2 linked regions of the Notamacropus eugenii genome follow. The protein of the gene in region 1 interacts with the protein of each later gene in a biochemical or structural test. Links are inferred from orthologs where the notes say so. Each region holds a gene or a part of one and is shown in the gene's direction. Other genes may lie near its edges. The genes, in order: MIB2 and CYLD.

Region 1 (15,520 bases):
GTTAGAGAACACACTAGATGGGGGCTTGTGAATAACAGCATTAAGAAAGCCTCCAGTAGCCACTCAGAGTTATCCATGGATAGAACTGTTGTTGGGAGAGTAAGAAATAGTAAGCTGCTCTCTGGGGACCTGACCTACCAGTACTAGCAAGAAATAAAGAAGTAGTGCAGAGGGGATACTATATAACAACAAGAGCAAAATTTAATATTTCAAAAAAGACACACAGCTCAAAATCACTGCTCATCAATGTTTCAGGGAATTTGAGATACAGCCTCAGGATTATCTGGGTAAGTGCATGTGCTCACTGTTATGTGCATAAAGTTACCCTTCGCCTCTGGGAAGGTGGCTATTGATTGTTCTTCATTCTCAGAGAGGACCATGACATCAAGGAGGTGATGCCATGACATGCAAATGAATTGGATTTAAGTGGGGGAGTGCTGTGCAAAGTCACTAGCCTCACTTTCTCCTCCAGAACCATTGGAGTCCAGTGGCAAGATACAGATCAGGATGACTAGAGATGGCCTGGGATACAGTGGGGGACCTTGACATTTTTCAGCTAAGGTTTTAACAATGTCTTGGTTTGACTGAGGCAGTGCCTATTCAGTGATTAAGGCTAGGTAAGAAATGAGGTAAAGAATGGCCTTTCACTTAGTTAAAAAAAATCAGTCTGGGAGGGGAAGACCCTCAGAGTTTCTGGCCAAAACAGAAGAAATGCTATTTGCATTCACTCTGAGCCAACCAGGGCCTGAACAATATTGAGGCTTCGTCTGGGACCTATTTTTGGCCAATAAGTAAGAGCCAGAGTGATCTGGATTTAAGGTATGTCCTTAAGAGAGAAATCTAGCCCATAAATCCCAAGATAACCATGTGAGGTTTCAGTGATCAAAATTTATATCCCTTTGAGCAGAGTCCCCATCAAGTAAGGGTATGATGAATGTTCATAGTTGAACTGAACACATATGCGGGTGATAGGGGTCATCCCATGCAGAATGCTTAATTGCCATTCCTGATTCTGGCTTTCCATGTGGAGTTTGGGTCTTGTTTCTGGCCATATGTGACTGAGCTAAAAAACTCACCCCCAGAGAAGAGGGATTTCCTATGTTGGCTGAGGAGTTGGAAGAGTTCATGACTCAGTAGCTGTTTAAAAGGCAGTGACCCCATACTCAAGGATCTTATCATTTTTTGAAGAGAAATAATTTCTCTGAATTATTTCAGGACCACTGAACTGTTTTTGGACAGGGGTGAGGTGATGGCACTTCTCTTATTTTATTGCTTTATGAACACTATCCTATTAAGAAATTCCTTTCCCATGTTATGGTTGACACACATGGAGACTATAACTTTGGCTGACATAGGAATCCTGAATCAGGAGGGGAAGGGGACCTGCTTTAAGGATATAAAGTCCACTTCAACTATCCTTTCTTTGAGCTCATTTCTCATGAACTCCGATGTATGGACCCAAACATGATGCCACTTTGAGAGAAATAAACAAGCACATGAAGTCTAATTTTGTTGGTTATTCTTAGAATGAACTCTGTAAGGTTGACAGTGCCCATCCAGAAAGGGGGACAGCTGGGGAGAAAGAAGATAGCCACTAACAAACAAGTTAGTTTGCCAAGCCTGGTAGTTTTACCAACAGACATCTACCAGGAATTCTTTGCACAGTGCAGAGCCAAGGTGAAATATAAAATGCGAAATTAGCAATTCTGTAAACTCTTTGTGTTCTGATAAGGTTTTTGCAGCCATAAGTTTGAACCCTGCTCTGAGCTTTTTTTTTTGTCAAATATACACTTCCGTGTGGTTTGCGTTTAGTATTCTTTTTGTCTCTAGGAAATAAGTATCTATTCAATACCTGTATAATGAATATCTTTCTACTTCCCTCCTTTAGGGATCCTGAGCCATAGCTATAAATAATTCCCTCCCCTCCCCTAGTGCTGGGAGCCAGGGGTTTAATGGGCCAAATGGTATGAGAAAAGAGAGACCAAACTTCTCCTTAGAGGACTTAGAGAACTCTGAAGACTGGGGTCAAACCCTGCCTCTGATGCACTAGCTGTATCACCTTGGGCAAGTCTTTTTTAACTTCTCTGTGTCCCAGAAAACTCTTCTGTAAGTTCCAGAAGAGCTGGTGAAGTGCATTTGGCTTGTTGGTGGGAGTTTCTGAAACAAGAAACTTCCCACATCAATGAAATCACATATCAATCCATCAGTCAAACATTGACTCAGCTCCAGATTGAATGAACTGTGATCTTAGGCAGTATGAAGCATGCTTCAGTTCTGACATGTTCTCTTTTATGCTGGCCCAAGTGGGAAATGATTGTGCAGAGGAGAAAATCAGCATTGGGTTTCCAAATTTGGATTATTTTCTTATAACTGAAGATTCTCTAAATCAAACGGAAGGGTTGAAGAGTATAACATTCCCGAGTCTGGTAAAGGATTGTACTCTGAAAGAGGGAACGGTGCCTTGGAAAACTTATAGGTTTGTAAATTTCAAGTTCCTCATTCCTGCATAATCTAGCTTGAGTGCTAGATAAATCGTCCCCAAATAAATAAGGGATAATAGGAGCGCATCTATCTACTCTTGTTTAGTTTAACTTCCAAATGAAGTTAATGAAGAAATAAAGAATTGACAGATATGATTGCTGAGGCAACACTGAGGTAGGAGTGTTAGGGCTGGAGTCAGGAAGACCCAAATTCAAACCTTACCTCAGATACTTATTAATTGTATGATCCTAAGCAAGTCAACCTTTCCCTGTCTTGGTTTCCTCAACTATAAAATAGGGATGATAACAGCCTCGTCTAGGTTTTTGGGAGGATAAAATTAGATATGTAAAGTGACTAGCACAATGCCTGGCACATAGTAGTAGGTGCTTATCTCATAATTAAGATTTACATTGGTCCCTGGCAAAATTCCAAAGTTATCAAGTGGGTGGTCAGGGAACACTTAGAAAAGAGATCAGTGATCCCAAAGAACCATCATGGCTTCATTTAAAAAAGAGAGGGTAGCAGCATTTCCATTGTTGGTGGAGTTGTGAACTATCCAACCCTTCTAGAGAGAAATTTGGAACTATGCCCAAAGGGCTATAAAACTGTTCATACCTTTTGATCCAGCAATACTATATCTAGGGCTGTATTCCAAAGAGATAATAAAAGTGGGAAAAGGACCCAAATGTACAAAAGCATTTATAGCAGCTTTTTTTGTAGCGGTAAAGAATTGGAAATTGAAGGGATGTCCATCAATTGGGGAACGGCTGAACAAGTTGTGGTATGTGATTGTGATGGAATATTATTGTGCTATAAGAAATGATGAACAAGCAGAGTTCAGAAAAACCTGGAAAGACTTACATGAACTGATGCTGAGTGAAGTGATCAAAGCCAGGAGAACATTGTACATAGTAACAACCACAGTGTGCAAGGACTGACTTTGATAGACTTAACCCTTCTTAGCAATGCAAGGTTCTAAGACAACTCCAAAAGACTAATGATGGAAAACGCTAAACATATCCAGAGGAAGAACTTTGGAGTCTGAACGCAGATCAAAGTAGGCTATTTGCTATCTCTTTTTTGTTGTTTCTTCTTTCTTGAGGTTTCTACCATTGGTTCTAATTCTTCATTACAACATGACTAATGTGAAAATATGCTTAATATAAATGTGTATGTAGAGCCTATATCAGATTGCATACCACCTTGGGGAGGAAGGGGGAGAAAATTTGAAACTCAAAATCTTATAAAAGTGAATTTTGAAAACTAAAAATAAATCAATAAACTTTTTTTAAAAAGAGTTGCAGCATTTCCTCCTTTTCTTGGCAGGGTTTACTAGGCCGGTAAGGGAAATGCTAGAGTTATAGTTTTATCTGGATTCAACAAAGAGCTTGACAGAGTCACTCAGACTTCTCCTCGTAACAATTGTTAACATTCACATAGCACTTTAAGGTTTGAAAAGTGCTTTACAAATATCTCATTTTATCCTCAAAACAATCTTGGCAGGTAGGTGCTACTATTGTCCCGATTTGGGTGACTGGGGAAACTGAGGCAAAAAGCTGTTAAGTGAGAGTCACACAATTAGGTGTCACAGTGGGTAGAGTGCTAGGTCTGGAGTCAGGAAGACCTTAGTTGAAATCTATCCATAGGTACATATTAGCTGTGTGATCTCGGGCAAGTCACTTACCCTTCCTACAGATTCCTCATCTGTAAAATGGAATAATAGCCTACCTTTCAGGGTTGTTGAGAAGACCAAATGAGAATCATAAGATGATGAGAATCATAAGGTGCTTACCACAGAGGAGGCAATATACAAATAGCAGCTAGTAGTAGTAATAGTAGTAGTAGTAGTAGTAGTAGTAGTAACAGCCACAGCAGCAGTAGCTAGGTGGCACCATAGGGTCAGGCTTAGAGTCAGGAAGACCCATCTTCCTGAGTTCAAATCTGGCCTCAGATACTTACTAGCTGTGTGACCCTGGGCAAATCACTTCACCTTTGCTTGCCTCAGTTTCCTCACCTGTAAAATGAACTGGAGAAAGAAATGGCAAACCACTCCAAATAGGGTCACAGAGAGTCAGAAATGACTGAAAAATAGTCGTAGAAGTTGTAGTAAGAATTTGAAACCCGGTATGAACTCAGGAACAGTTAGGGATTTGCAAATGGTCAAGTTTGCACTTAAAGACCTAAAGAGTACTCATTAATGTAATTCCCCAATTGATAAATGGTCAAAAGATATGAACAGGGAATTTTCAGAGGAAGAAATTAAAGCTATTGATAATCATATGAAAAAATGCTCTAAATCACTATTGATTAGAGAGATGCAAATTAAAAACAACTCTGAGGTACCATATCACACCTATCAGATTGGTTAACATGACAAAACAGGAAGATGATAAATATTGGAGAACATGTGGGAGAGTTGGAACACTAATTCATTGTTGGTGGAGCAGTGAGCTGATCCAACCATTCTGGAGAACACTTTGGAACTATGCCCAAAGGGCCACAAAAATGTGCATACCCTTTGACCCAGCAATATCGCTTCTGGGACTCTATCCCAAAGAGATCATTAAGATGGGAAAAGGTCTCACATATACAAAAATATTTATAGCAGCTCTCTTGGTGGTGGCCAAAAACTGGAAATCAAGGGATACCCATCAATTGGGGAATGGCTGAACAAGTTGTGGTATATGAATGTAATGGAATACTATTGTGCTATAAGACATGATGAACAGGAAGACTTCAGAGAAGCCTGGAAGGACTTATATTAACTGATGCTGAGTGAAAGGAGCAGAACCAAGAGAACTTTGTACACAGCAACAACCACAGTGTGTGAGGAATTTTTCTGGTAGACTTAGTACTTTGAAATACATGGACTTAAAAAAATTTCCAATGGACTTGAGGCAAAATGCCTTCCACATCCAGAGAAAGAACTATGAAATTGGATCGCGGATAGAAACAGACCATTTTCTTTTATATTATGTTTTGTTTTGTTTTATGGTTTCTCCTATTAATTTTAATTCTTCCATGCAACATGCATTTAATGGGAATGTACCTGTGGAACCTATATAAGATTGTATGCTGTCTCAGGGAAGGAGTAGGGAGGGAGGGGGAAATGATGGAGAGAGAGTGGAAAAAAAGTCCAAGATATAGGGAAGTGATCGTCAAACACTGAAAACAAATAAAATAATTCAATTAAAAAAAGCTTCCTCTCAGTCCTCACAATTAATAATCTTTTCTCACAATTAATAATCTTTTCTCTCTTTGGACTAGACCCATAACTGAATTGAAATGGAAGTGAGCTAGCTCCAGAATTGAGTCCCAAGATGGAATCAGTATGGTTCACTCAATTCCCACAATTAACTATTGCTGTCCTAATCTCCTCAATTCCCTCATAAACTTTGTCTATTGCTATAGACCAAATAGGGGGAAAATGTTATCTAGAAGCCAGTTTCTTGGTGATGAACCTTTTCAAACTTAGCTAGACTATCTTTGGGGGACATTCATGTATGCATGTGCACCTAGGCCTATACACAAAATTTTCCAGAATGCTAAGACTTCCAAGAACTTGTTTTATGCTAGCACAATTTTTTTTTTTAAATACCAGGTTCCCCTGATATTCCACAATGAATTATCATCGCAGTTGTATATTATTTAGGGATTTTATTACGCAGATGGCAAAACAGAGATAAAAGACAGAAGGTTAACTTCATGAAGGCAGGAACTTTGTCATATTTTTGTCTATTTCTTTTTTAGATTAAAAGTAGCATTCAAATGCAAATATTATCATGGATTGGTTGTTACAATAACAAACAATAATTTAAAACATCAAATGTCACAAAATCAGTTTCCTACGAGAATTTTTAAATAGTTCATTATGGTCTTTATTATTAATCATATTTGGAGGAACATTATTAATGATTGATAATGTTATTACTCAATGTATTATTTTCTTTCTATTAATGGTTGATGCATGTTTTGCTTATTTTCATGTTATAGGATTTTATAAAATATTTTAAAGGGGAAAAAAAAAAGAATACTCATTCATGGAAGTAGGTCAAGTTGGAGGGAGGTCTCTAGTGGAGTGCCCCAGGGATCTGCGCTTGACTCTGTCCTGTTCAGCATTTTTTAATCAATGATTAAGATGAGTACAGATGAAATGTTTGTGAAATCTGTAGATAACATAAAGAGGGTGTAATGAACATGTCAGATGACAGAGTCAGTATCCAAAAGGATCCTAGCAAGCCAGAACATTGGACCAAATTACAGAAAATTAAATTTAGAATCCACATGATTTCAGTCTTGCTTTTCCAAATTAAATGCCTTAAATAAAAAGGAAACAAACAGCAGGTTCTGATCCCTTCTCTGCACTTTTCTGTCAGTTGCATGACTGCAAAAATTGGGTCTACTATAGAATATCATTTTGCCTTCTACATATTTTCATCATGAACATGTATTCAGATTTTTCACATATGGATTTTATAGAGATGAGAAAGAAGGCATGTGAGTCAGAACTTATTGTTTTCTCAATAATTGTTGGAGGGAGAGGGAAATAAGCTGGTTTGTAACTTCCTAATCATTTGTTTTCTTCCTTTCTTTCATATATCTTGAGAAGTGATCCTTCAATGCCCCTCTAAATTGTGATGTCTCCAGGCTGGACCTCCAAGTAGTCTTGATCTATAGTAGTACAGCCGTCTTGATTTTTTTTAGTGTCCTTTCTATGGTGGCATAGTAGATGGAATACTGGACCTGGAGTCAGGAAGACTCCTCTTTGTGAGTTCAAATCTAGCCTCAGAGACTAACTAGCTGTGTGACCCTGGACAAGTCACTTCACTCTGTTTGCCTCAGTTTACTCATCTGTAAAAATAAGCTGGAGAAGGAAATGACAACCCACACAGTATCTTTGCCAAGAAAATGGTGTCACAAAGAGTTGGTTAGGATTGAAAACGACTAACCAACAATTTACTTTTTCAAGTAGCACTGTGGAAGACTGTGACTTTACAATCCAAAGCATTAATGGAGAAAGTAACTTCTTACAGAAATAGCAGATTTTTAATTTTTTTTTCTCTAATTGTTCTTCTAGTCAGTTAGGAGTCCACATGGCCAAGTTCAGAGAGGCACAGTAGCACATTGGTTACAGGGTGATTAATTCTTCTGGCCACAATAACACTAATGGCTTACATTTATATATAATATTTTAAGGTTTAAGGGTTTACATATATTGATCCTTAGTGAAGAAGGCCCTACACATGATTATCATTTTACTGAGGAGGAAGTGACTTGCCCAAGGTCATACAGTTAGGATTACATATTTAGAGCTAGAAGGGGCCTTAGAGCTCATGAATTCAACTCCCTCATTTTACAGATGAGGAAACTGAGGCCCAGAGAGGTTGGGTGACTCGGTCAAGGTCACGCTGCTAGTTTAAGGGGGTTAGATTTGATTTTAGAGTCATTTGACTCCATGGTCTCCCCCTACTCCCTCTCTGAACCAGTGACATGGGCCTCATCTCCCCAGACTGTGTGTGCATTTTCACTGACTCTGCCTCATGCCTGAAAATCTCACCCCCTACAGGAAGCCTTTTTTTCTCATCCCCCTTAACGCTAGTCAGAGATTATCTCTGCTTCATCCTGTCTACCTGGAGTTTGCACATACGTGCACTTTTGCTTGCTTGGATCATGAACTCCTTGAGATCAGGGACAGGTTTTTTGCCTTTCTTTGTACCTCTAGCACTTGGCACAATGCCTGGCAGCACACAGTAGGCGCTTGCTTGTTGAACCGAGTCATAGGAGGCTACGAGTCCTCATGCTCCTTGAGGCATCACCTATTAAGTCACTTCACCCCAACTGCCTCATCCTGGGCCATCTCCAGTCATCCTGATGAATATCTGGTCGCTGGATTCAGATGGCTCTGGAGGAGAAGTGAGGCTGGTGACCTGCACAGCCCTCCCTCACTCACAACAAAGTCAAGTGCAAGTCATGTCGTCATTTCTCTGGCAGCATGGTCTTCTTCGGCAACGAAGGAGGAACACACACATTCATTATTTCGTGTAGCAGAATGAGCTCTAGAACGCTCCTCAGGGCCTCAGAAGTCCCATCTGTAAAATGGTTACTGTAACTCCTCGCTAGTAGACAATGTTTCATTCTTTGCCTTTGCAGCCTAGCACCAGGTACACAGAGGCGTTAAGAAGGCTTGCAGATTGATGGAAAGGTCTTGGCCATTCCCTGGGGCTCAGGCGCGGCGACTCTTCCTCCTTGCACCGCCAGGGGGCGCCAGGGTGCCGGACTCTGAGCCCCGCCCCCGCCCCCGGCCCCGCCTCCGCGGCGGTCGCCGCGGCCCAGCCTCTAGCCTCGCAGGCAGCAGCGCCCGAGGGGGCCTGGCTCCCGGTTCCCGCGGGGCCTCCTGGGAGTTGTGGTCCAGCTCCCAGCCCCTGGGATTGCGCGCTACTCTAGCGCGCACTACGGCTCCCGGCAGCCCCCGCGGCGGACCCTGAAAACTGAAGCTGCCCGTCGGGGCGGCGCTGGCAGGCGGCTGCGGGCGGGCAGCGACCCCGCTGGCCCTGACCGACGGACGTACGGACGGACGCACGGACCGGCAGAGCTGCTCTGCGACGGAGCCTCGGAGCGAGCCCGGCGGGCGGGCCAACCGCCGAGCCGAGCCGGGCTCCGGGAAGGGCCCCCGCCCGGGACCGAGCACAGGTCAGAGCCTCAGAGCCGCTCCTCCGGCCAGGCGGGCGGGGCGGCCGCGAACCGAAACTTTGGGGCGGGGCGAGGCCAGGGCGGGGGCGGGGCCACGGCGGGGGAAGGGAGCCACCAAGGGAGGGGGAGGGGCGAGCGAGGGGAGGCCGGAGAGGGCTGCGGTAGGGGGCGAGGGAGGGCCGAGGGATTGGGGAGGGGGAGAGACGAGATGGCTACAGTGATGGGGGGAGGGGTCAGAGAGATGGGGGAGGGGGAGAGATATGGGGAGGGGGTCAGAGAGCTGGGGGAGGGGGAGAGTAATGAGGGGAATGGGGAGAGATATGGGGAGGGGGTCAGAGAGCTGGGGGAGGGGGAGAGATGGGGAGGGGGGTCAGAGAGCTGGGGGAGGGGGAGAGTAAGGAGGGGAAGGGGGAGAGATATGGGGAGGGAGTCAGAAAGCTGGGGGAGGGGGAGAGTAAGGAGGGGAAGGGGGAGAGATATGGGGAGGGAGTCAGAAAGCTGGGGGAGGGGGAGAGTAATGAGGGGAATGGGGAGAGATATGGGGAGGGGGGGTCAGAGAGCTGGGGAAGGGGGAGAGATGGGGAGGGGGTCAGAGAGCTGGGGGAGGGGGAGAGTAATGAGGGGAATGGGGAGAGATATGGGGAGGGGGTCAGAGAGCTGGGGGAGGGGGAGAGTAAGGAGGGGAAGGGGGAGAGATATGGGGAGGGAGTCAGAAAGCTGGGGGAGGGGGAGAGTAATGAGGGGGAGGGAGGGAGTAATGAGGGGAAGGGGGAGAGATGGGGAGGGGGTCAGAGAGCTGGGGGAGGGGGAGAGATATGGGGAGGGGGTCAGAGAGCTGGGGGAGGGGGAGAGTAAGGAGGAGAAGGGGGAGAGATATGGGGAGTACAGAGTGAGATGGGGAGGGGAATAAGGGGGACCACAGAGGCATGAGGTATGGGGAAGGGGAAGGAGGGAGGGAGGACCACAGAGATGGCCCAGGGTGAAAGGGGGGATCCACCGGGGCTGGATCTGAAGGGGTGGGTGGAGTAGGGGCAGGGGACCATTGAGGGATGGGCTGGGGAGCAAGGAGAGGAGGCCTGGAATGGGGCTGGGATGGAGCTTCCTCCCCCTGGGGGGTCTGGCTTTGCTGCTTCCAGCAGACCTCTGGGATGTTCAGATTTGGGTCTGAGGTCCCTTCCAAACCAGATTCCAGGATGAGGAGGAGGGTTATGGGGAATGATAGTTCACATTTGCATCAGGCTTTGAGGTTTACAAAGTGTTGGCCTCCTGGTCACTGTGAGGTGGGTCCTAAAGCCTCATTTCCCCATTTTCCCCAATGTGGAAGTGAGGCACAGAAGTTAGTGACTTACCTAGGGTCATACATTTAGAGTCAGGGATGGAAATTGGATCCGGGGCCCTTGACTTGAGTGCTCTCTCAGGGATCACAGAGGGAAGAGGAGCCTGTCGAGGGATTTGGGCAAAGGAAAATGGGGATAGGCCTGTTTGGGAGGGGAGACCAAAAGGAGCCATTTGGAACAGAGGGATCCAGAGCTGTGGAGGAGCTGGAGAGGGAGGGGGCAGCCTTAGCCGCTGGGCCTTCTCTCTGTCCTCACTCTTCTTAATCTCCAACAATTCTCTTAATTTTCCTTTATCTCTTAATCATTTCATGCTACTGAACATTTCCTCCTGCATACAGGATATATCCTGTCTAAATTGTTGTGACACTGTGCTCTCTGTCTTTCTCGTCTGTCTGTCTGTCTGTCTGTCTGTCTGTCTGTCTGTCTCTCTCTCTCTCTCTCTCTCTCTCTCTCAGTCTTTGTCTTGGTGTCTCTCTCAGTCCCTTTGTGTCTTTGTCTCTCTCTCACATTCTCTCATTCTCTCCATCTCTTGGTGTCTGTCTGTCTCTGTCTCTCTGTTTCTCTCTTTCCCTCTGTCTCTCAGTGTCTGTCTGTCTCTCTGTCTCTCTCTTGGTGTTTGTCTTTCTCTTGGTCTCTCTCGGTATCTGTCTCTCTGTCTTTCTGTCTTACCCTCTGTCTCGCTTTCTCTCTGTCTCTCTCTCCCTTTCTCTGTGTCTATCCATCTCTCTCTCTCTTTCAGTTCTGCCTGCCTGCCTTTCTCAGTTTGGTTTGACTGCTCAGGTCTAGGTCATGCCCACTAGCTGTGGGTGTCCCCCTACGCTCTGTTCTGTGTCACTCTACACTATTTCCCCTGGTGATCTTATCAGCTCCCCAGGGTTCAGTTTTTACCTCTGCAGATGACTCCCGATCTCTGTAGCCAGCCCTGGTCTCTCTTCTGAGCTCCCGTCTCTATCACCAACTGCCTCTTGGACATTCTGAACCAAGTGTCTCATTTGTTGTTACTGTTCAGTCATTTTCAGTCGTGTCTGAATCTCCATGATCCCATTTCGGGTTTTCTTGGCAAAGACACTGGAGTGGTTTGCCATTTCCTTCTCCATCTCGTTTTACAGATGAGGAAACTGAGAAAGACAGGATGAAGTGACTTGCCCAGGGTCATCCAGCTTCGAAGTATCTGAGGTCAGATTTGAACCTAGGAATGAGCCTTGTTGACCTGCCAGGGTCTTTATGCACGATGGTGCCCTCTAGCTGCCCATGTAGATGTTCTCTAGGCATCTCAAACTCAATCTTGCCACCCCAGAACTCATTCTTTTTTCCTCCTGAGCCCTTCCATCTTCCTGATTTTCCTGTTAGTGTTGAGGGCATAATCACTTTCCTGGTGGCTCAGGCTCCCAGCCCCCATGGCATCACCCTCTCTCACCTCCCATGGCCAGTCATCACCAAGCCCTGTGGTTCTGCCTTCACAATATCTCCCATAAGCCCCCTCTGCCTTGTGATATTGCAACCAGCCTGGTGCACACACTCACACCTGCTACTGCTAGCAAAGCAGGTCTGACCACATCACACCCCTCCTCAGTCAGCCTCAGTGACCATGCTGTGTCCCCTCCTCTTCCCCTGCCCAGCAAGTGTCACCTGCTTCCTGTTACCTCCAAGGGCAAAATTTAATCCTATTTGGCTTTAAAAGCTTTTCATGACCTGGCCCCTTTCTACACCTTCCTTCCTTCCTTCCACATCCTCTAGGATCTAGTGACTGATCCCCTGGTTGTCCTACCTCCAGGTATTTACCCTGGCTGTGCCCCATGCCTGGGACTCTCTCTCTGCTGTCTTCCTTGGCTTCCTTCAAAGCTCAATATCCTGCCTTCTGCAAGAAACATTTTCTGATTCTCCTTTATCTTAATCTCTCTGAGACTGTCTCCAATTTATCTCATCACATCTCTTGTTTGTACAGAGTGGTTGTCTTGTTGTCTCCTCCCTCAGACCACGAGCTCCTTAAAAGCTGTCTTTTGCCCTTGTTGGTCTCCCTGGTGCCAAGCCCATGGCTGGACACATAGCAGATCACTTCATTTATTCCGCATGACCTCTGCTCCCCCTGCCCTCCTTCAGTGAACTTCAGTGGCTCCCTGTCACCTCTGGGGATCCAATATGGAAACAAACCAGCCAACAACAGTCTCTTCTGTTTGGCTTTTAAGCCCTTCACAACCTTGCCCTTCTCCTGCATTCTCTGATTCAACCACATTGAATGTTCTCGTATGCCCCACTTGATCTCCATGACTTTGCCTTGCCCAGTCACCATGCCTGGAATGCCCTCCTTTGTTCATCTCGGCCTCATCAAATCCCTGCTTCCTCCAAGACTCAGCTTAGCCTCCACCTTCTGCAGGAGGCCTTTCTAACCCTCCTGCCCCCCAGCTACCAGTGCTGCCTTTCCTTCCTCTACTCTGTCTGTATTTTGTATGGACACACGTCATCACAAATACTTGTTGCCTGACTAGGGAGCTGTATCTGTTCCCTGTGCCTCTTGTCCTCTTCCCGTCTGGTTTGGGCTTGGTAAAGCAGTTCCTAGTAGATGCCCCTTCCCCAAAGGCCTGTGGGTCCTCAGTTCTTGATGGGCCATGATTGCTTTGTGTGGAGTATTCTACCCAAGAACGCCCATGCCCCAGGGGAGGAGGGGTAGGACCTACTGGGGCATCTGGAGCACCCTGAGAGCTAAGGAGTGGGACTGCACAGAGCTGGCCCCTCACCCTTATGGAAAAAGGCAGGCCCTGAGCCAGAGCTCTTGGGAGCCAGGGCTACCTGGCAGGTGGGGAAACTACTCTGCTGGGCAGCATGCACACCTGGAACCTTTCCCACTTCAGGCTCTCTGCAAACTTTAGAATCCTTTTCCCAGCCTCATGTGAGGCATTCTGGCCAGTGACTGGCTAAGAGAGTGATGGTGGAAATGAGGGTCAGAGACCCTCTGTGGGACTCTGGCCTAGCCACAGAACAAAGCAGTCCTGGGTTCCAGGCAAGTCAGCATCAACAGGGGCTACAAGCACAGGAGAAGCAGTTCTACCCTCAAGAAACTTGCGCCTTCCCCTCCCCCAATTCCAGATGTGTTATTGACATGAACATTGAAGTCATTTCTGGAAATACCTTCTCACCCTTCCATACTGACCCCTTTTTGGTAGCAGTTAAAAACTCAGTAAAAATGAGCATATCTGAGTCAGTTGGCCAGCATTGATTAAGCACCTCCTATGTGCAGGCCTCTGTGCTAAGCACTGGGGAGGCAAAGGCAGAAGACAGTCCCTGCCCTCAAAGAGCTCACTGTCTAGTGGGGGAAGAGAATGCCAGGAAGGAATCTGGGGGGAGAGGTCCTGATGAAATCCAGAGGAGTCTAGGGAAAGGATAAACTGACTGCCTTGGGCAGCGTTCTATGGGAGACTCTGAGAGGAGCTGTCTGCTGCCCACCTTCCACTCCCTCCATTCTGAGGGAAAGAGGGATTGGCCTAGAAGTGCTCAGAGGGGGACTGTTTAGACCCCCTCTGTTCTCCTAGGGGGTAATGATACAGCTAGTGTATACTGCTGAGCCAGAGGGGGAGCAGGCTGAATCTGTAATTTTGTTGGTATAGGGAAGTATCCAGTGAGTATCTCCCCATGCAGCTCAGCACTGTCTGCATCTTGAGTGCTTGTCAGACTTGTCCAGGGTCTCACAGTCACTTTGGGTCAGACCAAAGGCAGGCGTTCTCTATCCAGCTGCTGCTCCTTACAGATAAGGCAATAGAAAATCTTTGGAGGAGGGAGAGAGCCTGAGAGAATGGGGAGGAAGCCCCTGCCCTGAGCCTTGAAGGACCTAAGCCAGAAGGAAGTGCATTCCCCTCATTCCTGATCTCCCCACTGTGACTGAGCACCCAGTAGTTGTTGTGAGATCTTATCTTCTTGACCGGAATCGAGCCTCTTGCCTTACTGTTCATTCTTGATGTTCCGGCTCATGCTGATAGGGGTTCATGAGAATTGTTCTTGCCCTCTGCATCTGGAGGGTGAGGCTTCCTGTAACGCAACTTTGTCTCGGAAAACCTTCCACAGGAAGGGAATCATTTTAAATAGCCCATTACTTCATCTGGCCCTTCCTTCTAGGGTCAGATGCTTTGGGGAGACCACTTTCTGAGTGTTCTGTGCTCTTGTCCATGTCCAAGATTTTGGCCTCTATTGACTTTTAGCATCCAGTAGAGTCATTCCCCTGATTTAATTTACTTCAAAATTTTGTGTTGGTGTGCAGTCACATCCAACTCCTCATGACCCCATTTGGGGTTTTCTTGGCAAAGCTACCAGAGTGGTTTGCCATTTCCTTCTCCAACTCATTTTACAAATGAGGAAATTGAGGCAAACGGAGTTAAATGACTTGCCAAGGATCACACAGCTTGGTGTCTGAGGCTTGATTTGAACTTGGGAAGATTAAGTCTTCCACTCCAGGGTATGCACCATACACCACCTCCTGGCCTTTGCTTTAAACACACACATTCAATTCTAAAATAATTTATTATAAACACCTGTGTCCCTTGAACTCTTCCCTGGGGTGGTGATGGAGGAGAGTGATTACGACTCTCTTATGGGACCCAGACCTTGCCTCCCAGGAGTTCCCAGTGAAGTTAGAGAAGCCAATGTCAAGTACTGGGACCTGAGAACAGTTTATAAGAGGGAGGGAGAGTAAGTGATTGCTGCTGGCCATTGAGCCTTGGGTGTGTACCCAGCAGCAGCTCTGACTTTCCTGCTCCTCAGTTGGACTGATCCCTGGCTGTCTTTGTTTGCATTGGCTGCCGATCCCTTAGGAAGGCTTGTATGCTGACCTGCCTGGTGAGCCTAGAAGCAGAAGGAAGCCCTGGGGGTAGAATCCTGAGGAGAAGTTGCATTGAATGAAGTTAAGGTAAGTCCTGCTTACCTGTGTGCCTCACCAAGCTACTGTTCCTTTCTCCCCCACTCCCCACCCTGGAAGTTGTGACTTTGAGTCCAGAATGGCCAGGAGCAGAGCGTTCCAGATGGCT
Region 2 (15,625 bases), on another chromosome or scaffold:
TATTGAGAAGGGCAGCTTCACAGTGAATGCTTATTTCCCTATTCAGTTCTAAAACTGCAAGAGAACTAGGAATTTGGGGTTCATCCTGGAATAAATTGGCTGCAAGTTCAGATGTGAGGAACAAAAGTATGTGGACCAAACTACATGTAAAATTTTCTTTCAAATCATATAAAATGTCTACAAATAGATGGAGTCTTTGGAAACTAAGACTCATCACATTGCAACATTTTAAAGTCACTTGAGGACTGAATTTTGAGAGGTGTCAGAAGGTTTTCTAATTTGATGCCTTTGAATTGTTGTATGTGAAATGAGCTCTGATGAGATATTTTTTTGGAGATGAATTCTGAAGCAGACCTCTGGCAGTTGTTTCTCTGATCTGGGCTTGCTAGTACTGGAATATTTACATTTGTTAAGTTGCATATGAAACACTTCCTGGAAGGGTCTGTGATTTCTTTCAGCATGGGGAGTTCCTGGTGTGAGAACTCTATCTGTCACCACAGTCTGTGCCTTAGTCCTGGGAAACTGCCTGAGACACAAAGCAGTAAAATGACTTGTTCTGCTTCTGGAGCTAGGAGGAAATGTCAGGGGTGGGATCTGAACCTAGGATTTCCCGACCTCAAACCTAGTACTCTGTTCATTATGCCAGGCTGACTTTATGGAGAGTTTACAGGTCAACCAACAAACAAATTATTGAGTGTCTACTGTGTTACAGGCACTGTGCTAGGCACTGGGGATGCAAAGACAAAAAATGAATGGGACCTGCTCAAGGAGCTTGTGATCTATCAGGCACAAAGTAAGGCTTTGACTGTTAAAAAAAACCAAACAACTACTGCCATAACTCTTTTTCTTTCTGGAACCACGAAGCCTAGGGAAAGCACTGATTGTGGGGTGGTGATAGGTTGTTAATATTTATAAAGCACTTTGTATTTTCTCAAAGTTTGTATTTTTATAGAAAATGTGACTGTGAACTTTTATGTAAATATTAAGCTATAAGTATACATATTATTAAAGTATTTTGTCACTAAAGCCTTCTTTGTCATAAGACTTTAAATACATGTGAAATTTGTTTCATATTGAAGAATAAATATTCCTCATTCTAAAAATAGGTTTTCAAAAAAAATCAGGCAATTTTTACTTAAGAAAGAATGCTTAGACATAGCCCTGGCAAGCAAAACACACTTATCTTTCAGCTAAGAAAAATCAAATGCAGCACAAACTCCCAATGAGCCATGTGAGAAGAACTTCACTGAACACAGACTGAAAGTAAAATTGCAGGCAAATTAAAGCTTCTGCAGTTCAGGTTGAAGTGGCTGAAGACACTTTTGACAGAATCAAAATGTGAAAGGTTTTAGTCTATTTCTTTTCTGTAGACACTTGGTTGAAATAACCTCATACTGCTGTCCCCACCTAAGGAAAGGTGTCTCAAGGATTAGAAAGCTTCTGTAGGGACTGAAGAAGATACCTGTTTCTCCTGGATTCTGAGGGAGGTGTTTATTTTGGAGAATGGCAAGGAAGGGCAAGAGAGATGTTTTGTAATCTTTTAAAAAAAATTTTAAATTCAGTTTGAGTTTTCTCCCTCCCCTTCCCCATCCCCAGGCAAGAAAAACAAAACTCATTATAAATATGTATTATCATGCAAAGCAAATTTCCTTATTGTAAAGAACCTTGAGGGATTTGAAAGAGCCCCTTAACAAGAGTTCCCCTCCTCCAAGTGAGAAGAGTAGCTGACTTGAGAAGTTAAGTGATATATTGTTCTCAGGTGCATGTCCTTGAATTCGGGTGTTGAAGCTCCAGGAATCAGGGCCCCTGCTATACAGGATAACATTTGATAAAGAGGCCTGGAGGCCTCCCTTGCTACTTATCACGATCTGTTCTGTTTCATGCCTCAGTCGCTACTCTTATGGTTTTTCACTATTTAAGCACCCTGATCCCCTAATTTATTGGCTCAGTAGATCTAGAATAAACTCAGCTTGTTCAGACTGCTGTGTCCCTCCTGTCTTTTCTTCCTCGCTCTGTGAGCCCCGTAACTGCTCTGGACCTACTGGACTTCGCTGGCGGCAGCACCTTATTAGCTATGTCCAAAAAAAAAAAAAAGAAAGAAGAAAATTTGTTTCAGTCCATCAGTTCTCTTGTCTGGAGATGGGTAACATCTTTTATCATGAACCTTTTGGATGGTGTGCAGGTAAATTACAATGTTTTTCACAGCTGATTGTTTTTACAATATTGCTATTATTATATAAATTGTTCTCCTGGTTCTGCTTACTTCACTTTGCATCAGCTCCTAGAAATCTGCCCAGTTTTTTGAAACCATCTTCTACATCTTTTTTTTTTTTAATAATCAAATCATATTCCATTGCATTCATATACCGTAACTTCTTCAGGCATTCCTCAATTCATGGAGATTCCCTCAGTTTCCAATTGCTTGCCACCACGAAAAGAGCTGCTCTACATATTTTTGTACATTTGGGTCTTTTTCTTATCTCTTTGATCTCTTTGGGGCATAGATGTAGTAGGTATTGCAGGGTCAAAGGGCATCCATAGTTTAATAGATTTTTGGATGCAGTTTCAAATTGCTTTCCAGAATTCTTGGATTAGTTCCCAGTTCTTCCAACAGTACATTAATGTACCTGTTTTCCCATATTCCCTCAAGGATGTCATTTTCTATTTTTGTTATCTTAGCCAATCTGATGGGTATGAGGAGGTAACTCTAAGTTTAAATTTGCATTTCCCTATTAGTGATTTTGAGCATTTTTTTCATATGGTAGCTTGAATTTCTTCCTCTGAAAACTGTTCATATCCTTTGACTACTTAGCAATTTAGAAATGGCTGTGATGTTGTGAATCTGACCCTTTACATCTTAGAAATGAGACCTCCACGAGTGTAAGTAAGGTGCATTTTAGTGCGTGTAAAGTGGATTTTTGTTATTCTTTCTCAGAGTTCAGTTTCCCAAGATCCATAGCCATAACAATCTCTTGTTCCCAGGTATTAGATGTGTATGAGTTCTCATGATTATGCTTCAAAACACCTCTATCAAGAAAGAAGAAAACCAAATTACAAATATCAAAAATGAAAAGGGTGAACTCACCTCGAACGAGAAGGAAATTAAAACAATAATTAGAAATTACTTTGCCCAACTGTATACCCATAAATTTGACAATCTAAATGAGATGAATGAATATTTTAAAAAATATATATTGCTCAGATTAACAGAAGAGGAAGGTGAATACTTAAATAACCCCATCTCAGAAAAAGAAATTGAATAAGCCATAAATGAACTGTCTAGGAAAAAATCTCCAGGGCCAGGTGGATTTACAAGTGAATTCTATCAAACATTTAAAGATCAGTTAATTCCAAAACTATATAGACTATTTGGGAAAATTGGTGGAGTCCTACCAAATTCTTTTTATGATACAAATATGGTTCTAATACCTAAAACAGGAAGAACGAAAACAGAGAAAGAAAATTACAGACCAGTTTCTCTAATGAACATAGATGCAAAAGTTTTAAATAAGATATTACCAAAAAATACAGGAACTTATCATGAGAATAATACAATATGATCAGGTAGGATTTACACCAGGAATGTAGGGCTGGTTCAATATTAGGAAAACTATCAGAATTATTGATAATATCAACCACAAAACTAACAGAAACCATATGATTATCTCATTAGATGCAGAAAAAGCCTTTCACAAAATGCAACACCTATTCCTGTTGAAAACACTGGCAAGCATAGGAATAGATGGAGCTTTCCATAAAATAAAAAGCAGTATCTACTTAAAACCATCGGCAAGCATTATATGTAATGGGGATAAGCTGGATACATTTTCAGTAAGATCAGGGATGAAACAAGGATATCCATTATCACCACTGTTATTCAATATGGTATTGGAAATGTTAGCTGTAGCAATAAGAGAAGAAAAAGAAATTGAAGGAATAAGAATAGGCAAAGAAGAAACTAAGTTATCACTCTGTGCAGATGATATACTTAGAGAATCCCAGAGAATCAAGTAAAAAATTACTTGAAATAATTAACTTTGGCAAAGTTGCAGGTTACAAAATAAACCCACATAAATCATCTGCATTTCTATATATTACTAATAAAGTCCAACAGCAAGACATAGAAAGAGAAATCCCATTTAAAGCTAAGGTAGACACTATAAAATATCTGGGAGTCTACCTGCCAAAACAAACCCAGGGACTATATGAACACAATTCCAAAACACTTTTTGCACAAATAAACTCAGATCTAAGTAAGTGGAAAAACATCAGGTGCTTGTGGGTAGGCTGAGTTAATATAATAAAAATGACAATCCTACCTAGATTAATTTACCTATTCAGTGCCATACCAATCAAACTACCAGATAATTATTTTCTAGAGCTAGAAAAAATAATATCAAATTCATCTTGAAGAACAAGAATATCAAGGGAACTAATGAAAAGAAATGCTAGGGAAGGTGGCCTAGCCCTATCAGATCTCACATTGTATTATAAAGCAGCAATCATCAAACCACTTGGTACTGGCTAAGAAATAGAGGGGTAGATCAATGGAATAGATTAGGTACTCAAGACACAGTAGGCAATGGATATAGCAATCTACTATTTGATAAAGTCAAGGACCCCAGCTTCTGGGATTAGAACTCATTGTTTGACAAAAATTGCTGAGAAAACTGGATAACAGTGTGGTAGAAACTGGTCACAGACCAATGCCTGACACCATACACAAGAATCAAGTCCAAATGGATACATGATCTAGGTATAAAGACTGATAATATAAACAAATTAGGGGAGCAAGAAATAGTATATGTCAGATTTATGGAGAATGGAGAAATTTTTGATGAAACAAGAGATAGAGAACATTATGAAGTGCAAAATGGATAATTTTGATTATATTAAATTGAAAAGTATTTGCACAAACAAACCCAATGCAACCAAGATTAGGAGGGAAGCAGAAAACTGGGAAAGAATTTTTGCAACTAGTGTCTGTGATAAAGGCCTCACTTCTAAAATAATCAAATGTACAAGAATACTGGTCATTCCCCAATTGATAAATGGTCAAAGTATGGGATCTGGGCATTTTCAGAGGAAGAAATTAAAGCTATCTATATTCATATGAAAAAATGCTCTAAATCACTATTGATTAGAGAGATACAAATCAAAACAAGGTACCACATCACACCTATCAGATTGGCTAACATGACAAAACATGAAGATGATAAATGTGGAAGAAGATGTGGGAGAGTTAGAACACTAATTCATTGTTGGTGGAGCTGTGAGCTGATCCAACCATTCTGGAGAGCAATTTGGAACTATGCCCAAAGGGCTACAAAAATGTGCATACCCTTTGACCCAGCAATACTGCTTCTAGGACTGTATCCAAAGAGATCATAAAAATGAGAAAGGGTCCCACATGTACAAAAATATTTATCGCAGCCCTCTTTGTGTTGGTCAAGAACTGGAAATCAAGGGGATGCCCATCAATTGGGGAATGACTGAACAAGTTGTGGTATAAGAAATGATGAACAGGAAGACTTCAGAGAGACCTGAAAGGATCTATATGAACTGATACTGAGTGAAAGGAGAACAACCAGAAAAACTTTGTACACAGCAACAACCTTGGGAGGACTGTTTCTGATAGACTTAGCCCTTCACAGCAATGCAAGGACCTAAAAAATTCCCAATGGACTCTTAAGGCAAAATCCCTTCCCCATCCAGAGAAAGAACTGTGGAACTGGATTGCAGAATGAAACAGATCATTTTCTCTTGTGTTATGTTTTGTTTTGTTTTCATGGTTTCTCCCATTCATTTTAATTCTTTTATGCAACATGAATAGTGTGAAAATGTGTTTAATAAGAATGTATGTGTAGAACCTATATAAGATTGCACCCCGTCTCAGGGAGGAAGGAGGGAGGGAGGGAAAAAATGTAAGATATATGGAAGTGATTGTAGAAAACTGAAAACAAAATAAATTAATTTAAAAAAATTAAAAAACAGATTGAACTAAGAATAACAACAACAAAAAACACCTCTATCACACTTGCACAGTTATATAATGGTAAATGATATAAATATTTGTACTTAAATTATTAACATCCACTGCGACTGTGTAGTAAGATATAGGGATGAGGTGATGTAAACTTGTGAGGCTATTGTTGGCAATATGCCTTCTTTGTCTGTTGCCCTATAAAGCAGGTGGGCACTGGTCAGTGAATGGGAAACCCTTAGAGTTGAATGCACAAACTGGATTGATGTATGTGTGCCTTGACTGGCCCCCACTGAGGCTTGAGGAGATTTAGAGAAATGCACAAGCTGTGACTGTCTCAATTGACCCCATCAAGACATAGGGGTAGCAGCCCCCCTTCTTGCTGGCCCCTGAGAGAAGGGTGATTAGAGAATGCTGTAGGAGTTAGTGCTCCCATTATCAGCAACCTTGTGAGGAGACTAGACCTGAATAAAGTAAGATTATTAACCCCTTCAAAGCTTTCTTAGTGTCTTTATATGTCTGACCAGATCAAAAATGAACCTGTGCTAGTGGCCCTCCTGTGTGCTAGTGTGTATCTGTCTTACAGAAATTTGCTGCAAATATTTCCCACCCCTTCCCCCACTCCCCAATTTCCTGCCTCTAATTTTAGTTGGATTGGGTTTGTGGAAAAACTTTTAAATTTTATGTAATCAAATTGATCTCTTTTGCCACTTCTTTCTCTTGTTTGGTCATTAACATGACCAAAGCATCACCCTGTCCATAGATTTGACAGGTAATTTCTTCCATGATCCACTAACTTGCTTACCATGTCACCCTTTATGTCTAAATTATCTACCTATTTTCAGCTTATCTTGATATGGTATGAGAGGTTGGTCTATGCCTAGTTTCTGCCAGATTAATTTCCAGCTTTTCTAATAGTTTCTGTTGAATAATGAATTCTTGCTTCAATGTTGGGCATTCAGGTTTATGAAACACTAGATTACTGTGCTCATTTGCTTCTGTATATCATATGCCTGCTCTGTTCCACTGATCACTGATCAATTTCTATTGGCCAGGACCCACTCATGGCCAGCCTTGGCCTCAGTATCTGCATACCTCTTTGTTTCCCTCAGCATCACTGGGCTGGAAAAATGACTCACTGGAATTTTTTTTTTTAATGGCCTTGTGGCCTGGAATTCAGTTTGATCCTCTTCTAGAAGGTTGTGGAGGTATCTGGATGAACTAGCAAAAATACTTCCTCTTACTCTGCCATCTTGACTCCACCCTGTTTTGTAACCTTTTGATGACAAAGCTTTTGTTTTTGTTCTATAGCCTTGTTCTCTTTGAGGCAAGAATCTACATGAGATTATAAACTATAAATGAAGTTAGCAGATTGGAGTGTGTGTGTGTGTGTGTGTGTGTGCGTGTGTGTGTGTGTGTGTGTGTGTGTGAGGAGCACAGGACTTTTTACAGCAATCATTAATTCTTCATAGATAAGAGTAATCTTCTAAAGTAGCTTGATTTGAAATTATTCAGCATGGGAAAGTCATAGCTGAAAACCAAGTTTCAAAGTCCAGCAGGGATTCCCCAAAAGCATTCTAAGGCCTATGTACAAGATTGGGCGGATTAATCTCTCTGTGGTTACTGCTTTTAATATCCTCCAAAGAAGGAGTAGAGTTGAGGGTTCTCCTAAGGGTGAGTGGGCATTTGGAAAGAATAGTCAATCAGTCAATAATTATTAAGAAATTATTATATGCTTGACACTGTGCTAAAGTTCTGGGCATACAAGTAGGAAAAAGATAGTTCCTTCCCTAATCTAACAGGGGAAGACAATGCTGAATGGGGGTTAATGTACCGGGCATGGGAATGGTAGAGAAATCAAATCCAAAATGAGTGCAGTCAGAGAAGTCAAAGAAGTCCAACATGAGTACAGCTGGATAGGAAATGAGATGTCAGGATATTTCTCTCCTGTGTCCCCTCCAATGGAAGGGCAGTGGGTACTGGTGAGATGTGGGTGTCAAGGTTGATTTGTATCTGACAAGATGATGAGATTTCCCAATGAGTTTACTGGGGGGCATAGTAGGGAAGTCAAAGAAGTGTAAAATGAGTGTAGCCAGGTGGGAAATGAAGAGAGGTTTACACAGTCCAGAAAGGTTTCTGTTAATACTTATAAATTCTTGTGGAAAAAGAGCTCATATGAGACCTTTTCTCATTCACAAAATCCTGGTTGTCAAATGTTAAATGAAAATGGCACAGATTCTCATTCCAGAAATAAACCCCAAAACCTCTCTTGCCTTTTCTGAATGAAAATGAAGATTCTCAGTATTGTTATCATTAGGTATCAGTCTCTTAAATTCAATAGATTCTGCACAGGAAAAAAAAAAGACACAGGGATCTTACATCTTTTTAGGGAGCTGAGAATAGACAAAAAATTTGGAATCATGCATTTAACAATTTCCTCTTGGAGGATTGCCCATAGTTTTCTGTTACTCATTCTTTGCTGGGATTAAATGGCATAGCTAAATATTCTTGAGTTTCCCAGGTATAGCAATGGGAAGCTGAATGGTCATATACATTAAAATGAGTAGCTGTGGAGCATGTTTCATGAAAGCAGAAGATCCTCTACCATATACCTAGCTCTGTGCTAGGCACTGTGAAAAGAATACATAAGTAGAAGATACAGCCTTCTGCTGTTAGAGGAGCTGATCTTGTTAGGGAAATTCTATCATCAATAAAACAATTAGAGAATACCAGAGCACTTTGGGAATTGGAGTAACTGTTTAAAGATGAGTCTTGAATTGATCCCTAAAGGGGTCATGAAGGTCTGTGACAGCAGGTTCTTGAAGTCTATGCCAAGGGGGCACAAATGCCAACAGATAATATGAAATTAGAAAAGCTTCCAGCGTGGGTCTCACAATGGCATCCCTTCTGCGCCCCGGATGACGTACTGGGGAGGACTGTAGTACATGATAGCCATTCTGAGAGTAATTAGTTATTGGCACAGTGACACCCCTTTGTGCTTTTACCTCTCAGGATGAATCCCACAGACCCTTAGGAGTAAGTGGGAGAATTTTTCCACAGGGAGAATTTATGTCATGATTAAGACCTTTCCCCTCCCACATCCCTCCTTTGAGTATTATTCATCCTCTTTCATAATTGGTACTTAATTTGTTAGAGAAAGAATTAATTAACAAGAATCCAGTGTCCTGAGAGCCTTCACTACTAAGTTAAAAAATCACTTCCTTAAATATTTTTGAGCTCACGTGGGAATCAAAAACGTCTCTTCTAATTGAAAGATCCTTAACTAAACCATAAGCCCTGGCTGTTGGCCAGGAAGGATGAATTAAATGTGTGACAATACCTTATCCTCCTCAGTGCCCTAAATTGGACCCCACCTCCCAAGGACTAGTGGGTGACTGCTGGGATAGGAAGCCCCTTCCAGAAGGGGAAACTGAGGCACAGGGCTCAGAGGGACTGGGAAACTCGATGGTTCAGGGTTAAGGACAGAGTGGTTTTTCGGGACTCCGGGCTGCCTCCCAGGAGTCCGGACTCCCAGCTCAAGCTAGGGCGTGAGCCCTGGCCTCTCCCAAAGCTTATTAGCTCCCAAGGACCGTGGACCCTGCCCTACCCAGTTCAGTAAAGCGTTTTGACAGCTGAGGCCCAGAGGGACTGGGACCGGTAATGCTCCACCCCCTCCTTTCACACAGCCAATCATGGCTGTAGGCTTGCAGCCAGACAGTCAATCAGAGAGCGCTACGCCACTCTCCCCGTCCCCGCCCCCTCTCGCCTCTTCCTCTCTTAGCCCTCCCCCACCCCCACTTTGGCTCCACCGAGCTTGACGGAGCGGAAAGTCCCTTAGTACCGAGCTGGCCCAGCAGGCATTGGCGGAAAGGCCGTCACAAGAAGGACCAATCCTGGCGCGCGCTGGAACGCCGTTCGGGTTCCGATTGGCTCTCATGCCACTTCTCCCCACCCACTACCACTCCCTCCCTTCCTTTTCTCCGGCTTGGAGGCGGGGCAGGCGGGGGCGGGCCCAGGTATCGGGTTCGGTTGCGCGGGGCCGCGCGTCTCCCCGAGATAAATAGTCGGCTGTGGTGGCGACGACTTTTGGTCTCCGGAGTCGGGGGCCGCAGGATTGGGAGCCGGGCTTCAGCCCGGTCGGACCCGTTCAGGTGAGCGAATGGCGGGCGGCGCTGGCGCCTGTGGGCCGGGGTTGGGGAGGCAAGACTCGTCGGGCGCCTTCCCCTCACTCCTCCGACGCCCCCGGCCCCGCCGCCTGCCAAGTCAGTGCTCCCCGTCCCGGCCCGTTACCTGGGCCTCGCCGGCCCCGCCGACGTCACTCTCCGACCCCGCGGACTCACGCCGCTCCCAGCGAGGCCTGCCGGTCCCGGCCTCCGCCGGAGAGGGATCCTCAACTCCGACTAACGGCCGCGGCTCGTCCGGTGCCTGGGGCGGTGGTGCCCCCCCTCCCGGGGACTGTCGTAAATAGGAGCTCCTCCCCCTTAGGGGAGGGGGCGGTAAACTGAGGCACCGGGCTGCCATGGAGCCAGCGTCCACCTTCGGGACCCAGAGACTTGTAGATGGGCTCGAAGTACTGCTTAACTCCCTCCGGTGGGACAAGGGGAGATAGGGGCTGGTGGGAAGAGCACTGAGGATTAGATGTTCGTAGGATTTAGAGCTGGAAGAGACCACACGTCAGACCAAGGATCCCCAAACTTGGGGTTCACCAACCCTGAAGAGGTCCAAGGACAGATTTCAGGGAATCCGTGAATTTGAATGGGGAAAAAAATGACACCTTGGGTTTCACTAACCTAACTGAAATTATGAAAGTAGACAATAAAACCTTATTCTGATAAGGGTTTCTGTAGGGTTCACCAGACTGCCAAAGGGGGTCTATGACAAATAAAGGTTAAGAACTCTTGGTCGTGATCCCTTTACAAATGAGGTAGCTGAGGCCCAGGGAAGGAGAGGAGTACCCACCCTACTGCTGCTCTTGCTGATTTATTCTCCTTTCTGTTTCAGTTTGCCCATCCTCAGGCTGAGGATGCTGTTACACAACCACTTGGAGTTCTTTAGTTGAAAAATTCTCTGTGGACAGAAGGTATCTCTCTTTTTCCTTTAATAGTAAATGGTCTGGTGGTTAACATATATGGATCCAAATTGATCAGTACAATTTATTACACATCTACTATCTATATTCTAGGTACTGGGGATACAAAGTCTTTCAAAAAGTGAGACAGTCTCATATCTCAAGGAGGGCCTGCTATTAGGGGTATTTAGTATGTGTACAGATAAGTAAATATAGGGTAAATATAAAATGAGGGGGGAATAAGGTGACCTTGAAGGAGGTGACACTGAAAGGAGTCAGTCAGTAAGCATTTATAAAATGCTTATTATGTGTCAGGCAATGTGCTAAGCACTGGGAGTAGAGATTCAAGCAAAAAGAAAGACAGTCCCTTCTAGGAGTAGACTAAAAAAAACCGCATCCTGATGGGTAAGGACAATACATAAAAGGAAGCTGAAAAAGGGAGTGGTGCAAAGGAAGGTACCTGACTTGGAAGCAAGTTGGAGTCTAGATTTGCAGCCTGGGGAGAAATGAACTGAAGGAGCTAGCAGGTTCTGAGAGACACAGGAGAGAGGGCCTTTCAGGCATGAGGGGTAGCATGTATAAAGACACAGAGGTAGGAGATGAAATCTAGGTCTGTTTTGCTAGAATGTAGAATGAATAAAAGGGAAAATAATGTGATTAGCTTGGAAAAGTAGGCTAGAGCCAGATTGTAAAGGTCTTTAAATGGCAAACAGAGGAGTTTGTGTTTTATCCTAAAGGTAGTGGGGAGTCACTAAAGTTTCTTGGTTAGAAGAGTGACATGGCCAGACCTGACCTTTAGGATATTAATATGGCAGTGATGTGGAGGATGGAAATAAGAATTTTGAATTTGCATTCCAGAGAATGTTGCTCATGAGTGTTTGATATACGACATGTTCTTTGTACATGTGTACAACTCTTGTTGCTTTTGCATTTTTAAGATAGTTGATTGTTCTTATCCTAGTTCCCTTTCCCCCAAGTTCAGCTAAAAATAAACTCATTACCTTGCTTTTTGACTGAAAAGTCTGTGATATAATACGATTGTTAATTTTTTAGGCTGTGGTTTCTAGGGGGGAAAGAAGAAGTCCTTAATGTGTTTCAGGGACTGAGAGAGGGAATTTGTTCTAGTGTTACTTTTCTGCACCCCCTCACACCCTAGGTAGAAGTAATGGCTCTGAGTATTAGCCTGCTGTTCTTCAGTATATAGTGGGTGGATTTGCACTAGTACATTATCAGGAGAAAATGGTCTTGGAGAACTTATTGAAACCCATAACACTTATGTTCTGTTGCAAAATCCTGGAAAATCCCAGCAAATAACACATTCCCTTTGGTGGTAGCTCTTATAAGATTTGGTAAGACCAAGGCTCATGTTTTCTTTCATGTTTTTTAAAAAAATAAGGTTTTATTGGTGTCTTCTGTTTCATATCCTACTTCCCCTCCCAGAGGACCATTTCGTATAACAAATAGTAGTATTTTTTAGAGAGGAAAAAAAATCACAATTGTTAAATACATTTTAAGAAGTCTGATAACGTGCATCATGCTTTCTTTTAAAAAAATTATAATGTCTAATGATTTCAGTGATTTTATATGTCAAGACTGGACTTACATTTGTTGACAAGAAAGATGAGAGTGAAGAAGGGAGTATGAAGTTATTATCCTATCCATCACTTGATTAATGTTACCATTTTTTCTGATTTATACTGTATTCTGAGTCGTTTGGATTTTTGATATTGGCACACAATCTGTGCTATAAAAGGATTAAATGAAATGATCCTGAAAAATCACTTTAACATGGATGTCAACATTACATTTTTCCCCTCTAATATATGACAAGTAAAATAATATTGCTTCTTCCTTACACAGTAATAAAATGTGTAACATTAGTAGAACAGTAATTAGAATGATGACTTCACTCTTCACGTTTTTATTGCTATCAAATATAACTAATTTTGATGTACAAAACCACTGAAATCATTAGACATTATACTCAAATGAATCTGTGATATCGATTCAGAAATTCCCTTTAATGAAGTAATTCAAAATCAATTCCATACCCATCCATCCTCTGTAATACTCATCCATGTTCTCAAAAGTTCACTAAGGAGGACTGCTGAACATGCTGTAGGCCTTTTCCTGACATTATGAGTACCAGTGGAAAATTTTTTCTTGAGACATGACCAGCCCATCTTCTCTTTCTGTAGTATAATTATTGGATGATATCCTTTACTGATATTCTTCTAAAGAATTCCTCCTCGGTTCTACATTACAACCTGCTCATCCTTATCACGGGCTTTTTCGTTGCTTTCTATGTAATGCCCATCTATAGTTCTTGTTATGCAGTGGTGTTCCACATTTGGAAGCATAATTAAATGCTTTTTAGGATTCTCTAGGAATATTGAGAAATAAAATTTCTTTGGTCTAAACCCTTTCCAAACTTCTGTTTGGAGGCAGGCCAGAAGGATGGATAATAAGCTTTCTTAGTGTGGTAGTCAAATAATTGAATACAGAGTATCTCTTGTTAGATCATTGCCTTCCCACCCACCTGTAGTGTTTGACCAATCTAAGGGCAGTATTCTCTTTACCCATCCCTTGAAGGGACTGATGCTTTGATCTACGTTTCTCCTTTGAGAAAAGATTGTCTGGTAAACAAGCATTTAGTGATCGCCTATTATTTGCCAGGCACTGTGCTACGCATTGGGGAAACAAAGAGAAAAACAGTTTTTGCTTTCAAGGAGCTCACAGTCTAACATGAAAACAACTATGTACAAAGGATAAATTGGAGATAATCATCAGGGGATGAACGCTAGTGTTAAGCAGGATTGAAAAGAGCTTCTTGCAAAAGGAGGGATTTTAGCTGAGACTGAAGCCAGGGAAGCTAGGAGGCAGAGATGAGAAGGAAATGAGTTCCTGGCATGAGGGAAAGCCTCTGAAAATGCCCAAAGCTGGAGTGTTTAGTGTGAGAAATAGTAAGGAGACCAGTGTCACTGAATCACTGTGTGTCTGTGGTGGTGGGGGAGTGTTTGTTGAAGGAGATTGGGAATAAAATGCAAGAAGACTGGAAGGGTAAGAGGGAGTCATATTATGAGGGACTTTAAAAGCCAAACAAAAAATTTTATATTTGATACTCAAGTTAATAAGGAACCACAGGAGTTGATTGAATGGGGGTGTGACATAGTCAGACCTTTTCTTTAGGAAGATCTCTTTGATAGCTGAATGGAAGATGGACTCGAATGGGGAGAGACTTGAGGCAGAGAGAGTAATCACAGACTATTGAAAGTAGTCTAGGCTTGAAGTGATGAAGGTTTGCCACCAGGGTTGTGGCATTGTCAGCAGAGAGTATGGAGCATGTACAAGAGAGATTGCAGAGGTACAATCAACAGTACTGGGCAACAGATCAGATATGGGAGGTGAAAGAGAGTGAGAAGTTGGGGAAAATACTTTGGTTGTGAATCTACATAACTGGAAGAATGAGGGCACCTTCAACAATAATAGGAAAGTTGGGAAGAGGGGAGAGTTTTAGGGGAAAGATTTGGATGTGCAGAATTGAAGAGATCTATTGGATATCCCAAGAGATGGGAGGATAGAAGTCAAGAGAGAGGGTAGAGATGAATAACTAGATCTAAGAATCATACACACACACACACACACACACGCACGTATATGTAAATATGTGTCCTTACGTGGAGAGAGAAGAAGACAGACAGAGACAAATAGATAATGTAATTGAATTCCTGGGAGCAGATGATCTGATCACCAAGCAATGAAGAGGGCCCAAGAAGGAGGCGTGGGAGACAACCACAGTTTAGGAGCTTGACCTGGATGAAAATCCTGCAAAGGAGACTGAAGAGTGGTCAGACAGGTAGACGAACCAGGAGAGAGCAGCGTCAGGAAATTTATAGGAAAGAGAGTATCACGAACAGAGTGATGAACAGTGTTAGAGGCTGCAGAGAAGTCAAGAAGAGTGAGAATTGAGAAACAACCATTGAGATTTGACCATTAAGAGATACTTGGTAACTGAAGAGAGCAGTTTCAGTGGAATGATAAAGTTAGAAGCTGGACTGCAGAAGTTAAAAAGAGTGAGAAACAAGAAAATGAAGCACTGAAAGAAGGAGATCTATTTGTATGTTCTAGGAGTAATCAACTAAGTAACTGAATGGTAATTTTATTATTCATTTGTTTTGGAATGCTAACACAAAACTATTTTTACATATGATCTTTGTCTTGTTCAAGATTGCTATAAATGTTGCCTCAAGTCATCTTGGATGAGAGAGTCCTGTCAGAAGGCAGTGGGAAACTATGCCAATTTATCTTTCTCTTTCTCTCTCTCTCTCTGTTTCTGTGTTTCTCTGCCATAAATGACTTGGATAATAGAGTAATGTAAAATTAAGAAAAATTATTTCTGGTAGATTTGTCTAGACCCCAGCATACAGTATTAATAATTTTTTTCTTCAACACAAGTCTCATTACACTGTACAGACACACTGATTAAATGTTTGTATTGAAAAGTCAGGCCTTTGCTGTTACAGGAAACTTGTAGTCAGTAAAAGTGTGTAATCTTTTTTTTTTTTAAATTTTTA

What was found.
Region 2: of the proteins of MIB2 (region 1) and CYLD, one has a biochemical effect on the other in vitro, tested with the Homo sapiens proteins (2 studies listed by BioGRID, with this or other methods). The link is inferred for Notamacropus eugenii from reciprocal best matches to the Homo sapiens genes MIB2 and CYLD.

What each region holds. Positions count from the first base shown.
Region 1 is NC_092876.1:35,303,405-35,318,924, forward strand, and holds the start of MIB2 (E3 ubiquitin-protein ligase MIB2), read left to right. Parts: upstream 1-9,043; 5' UTR 9,044-9,171; intron 9,172-10,421; exon of another isoform or gene 10,422-10,451; intron 10,452-11,617; exon of another isoform or gene 11,618-11,684; intron 11,685-15,307; 5' UTR 15,308-15,402; intron 15,403-15,520. UniProt on the Homo sapiens protein: E3 ubiquitin-protein ligase that mediates ubiquitination of Delta receptors, which act as ligands of Notch proteins.
Region 2 is NC_092872.1:465,957,401-465,973,025, forward strand, and holds the start of CYLD (ubiquitin carboxyl-terminal hydrolase CYLD), read left to right. Parts: upstream 1-9,976; 5' UTR 9,977-10,134; intron 10,135-10,984; 5' UTR 10,985-11,063; intron 11,064-15,625. UniProt on the Homo sapiens protein: Deubiquitinase that specifically cleaves 'Lys-63'- and linear 'Met-1'-linked polyubiquitin chains and is involved in NF-kappa-B activation and TNF-alpha-induced necroptosis.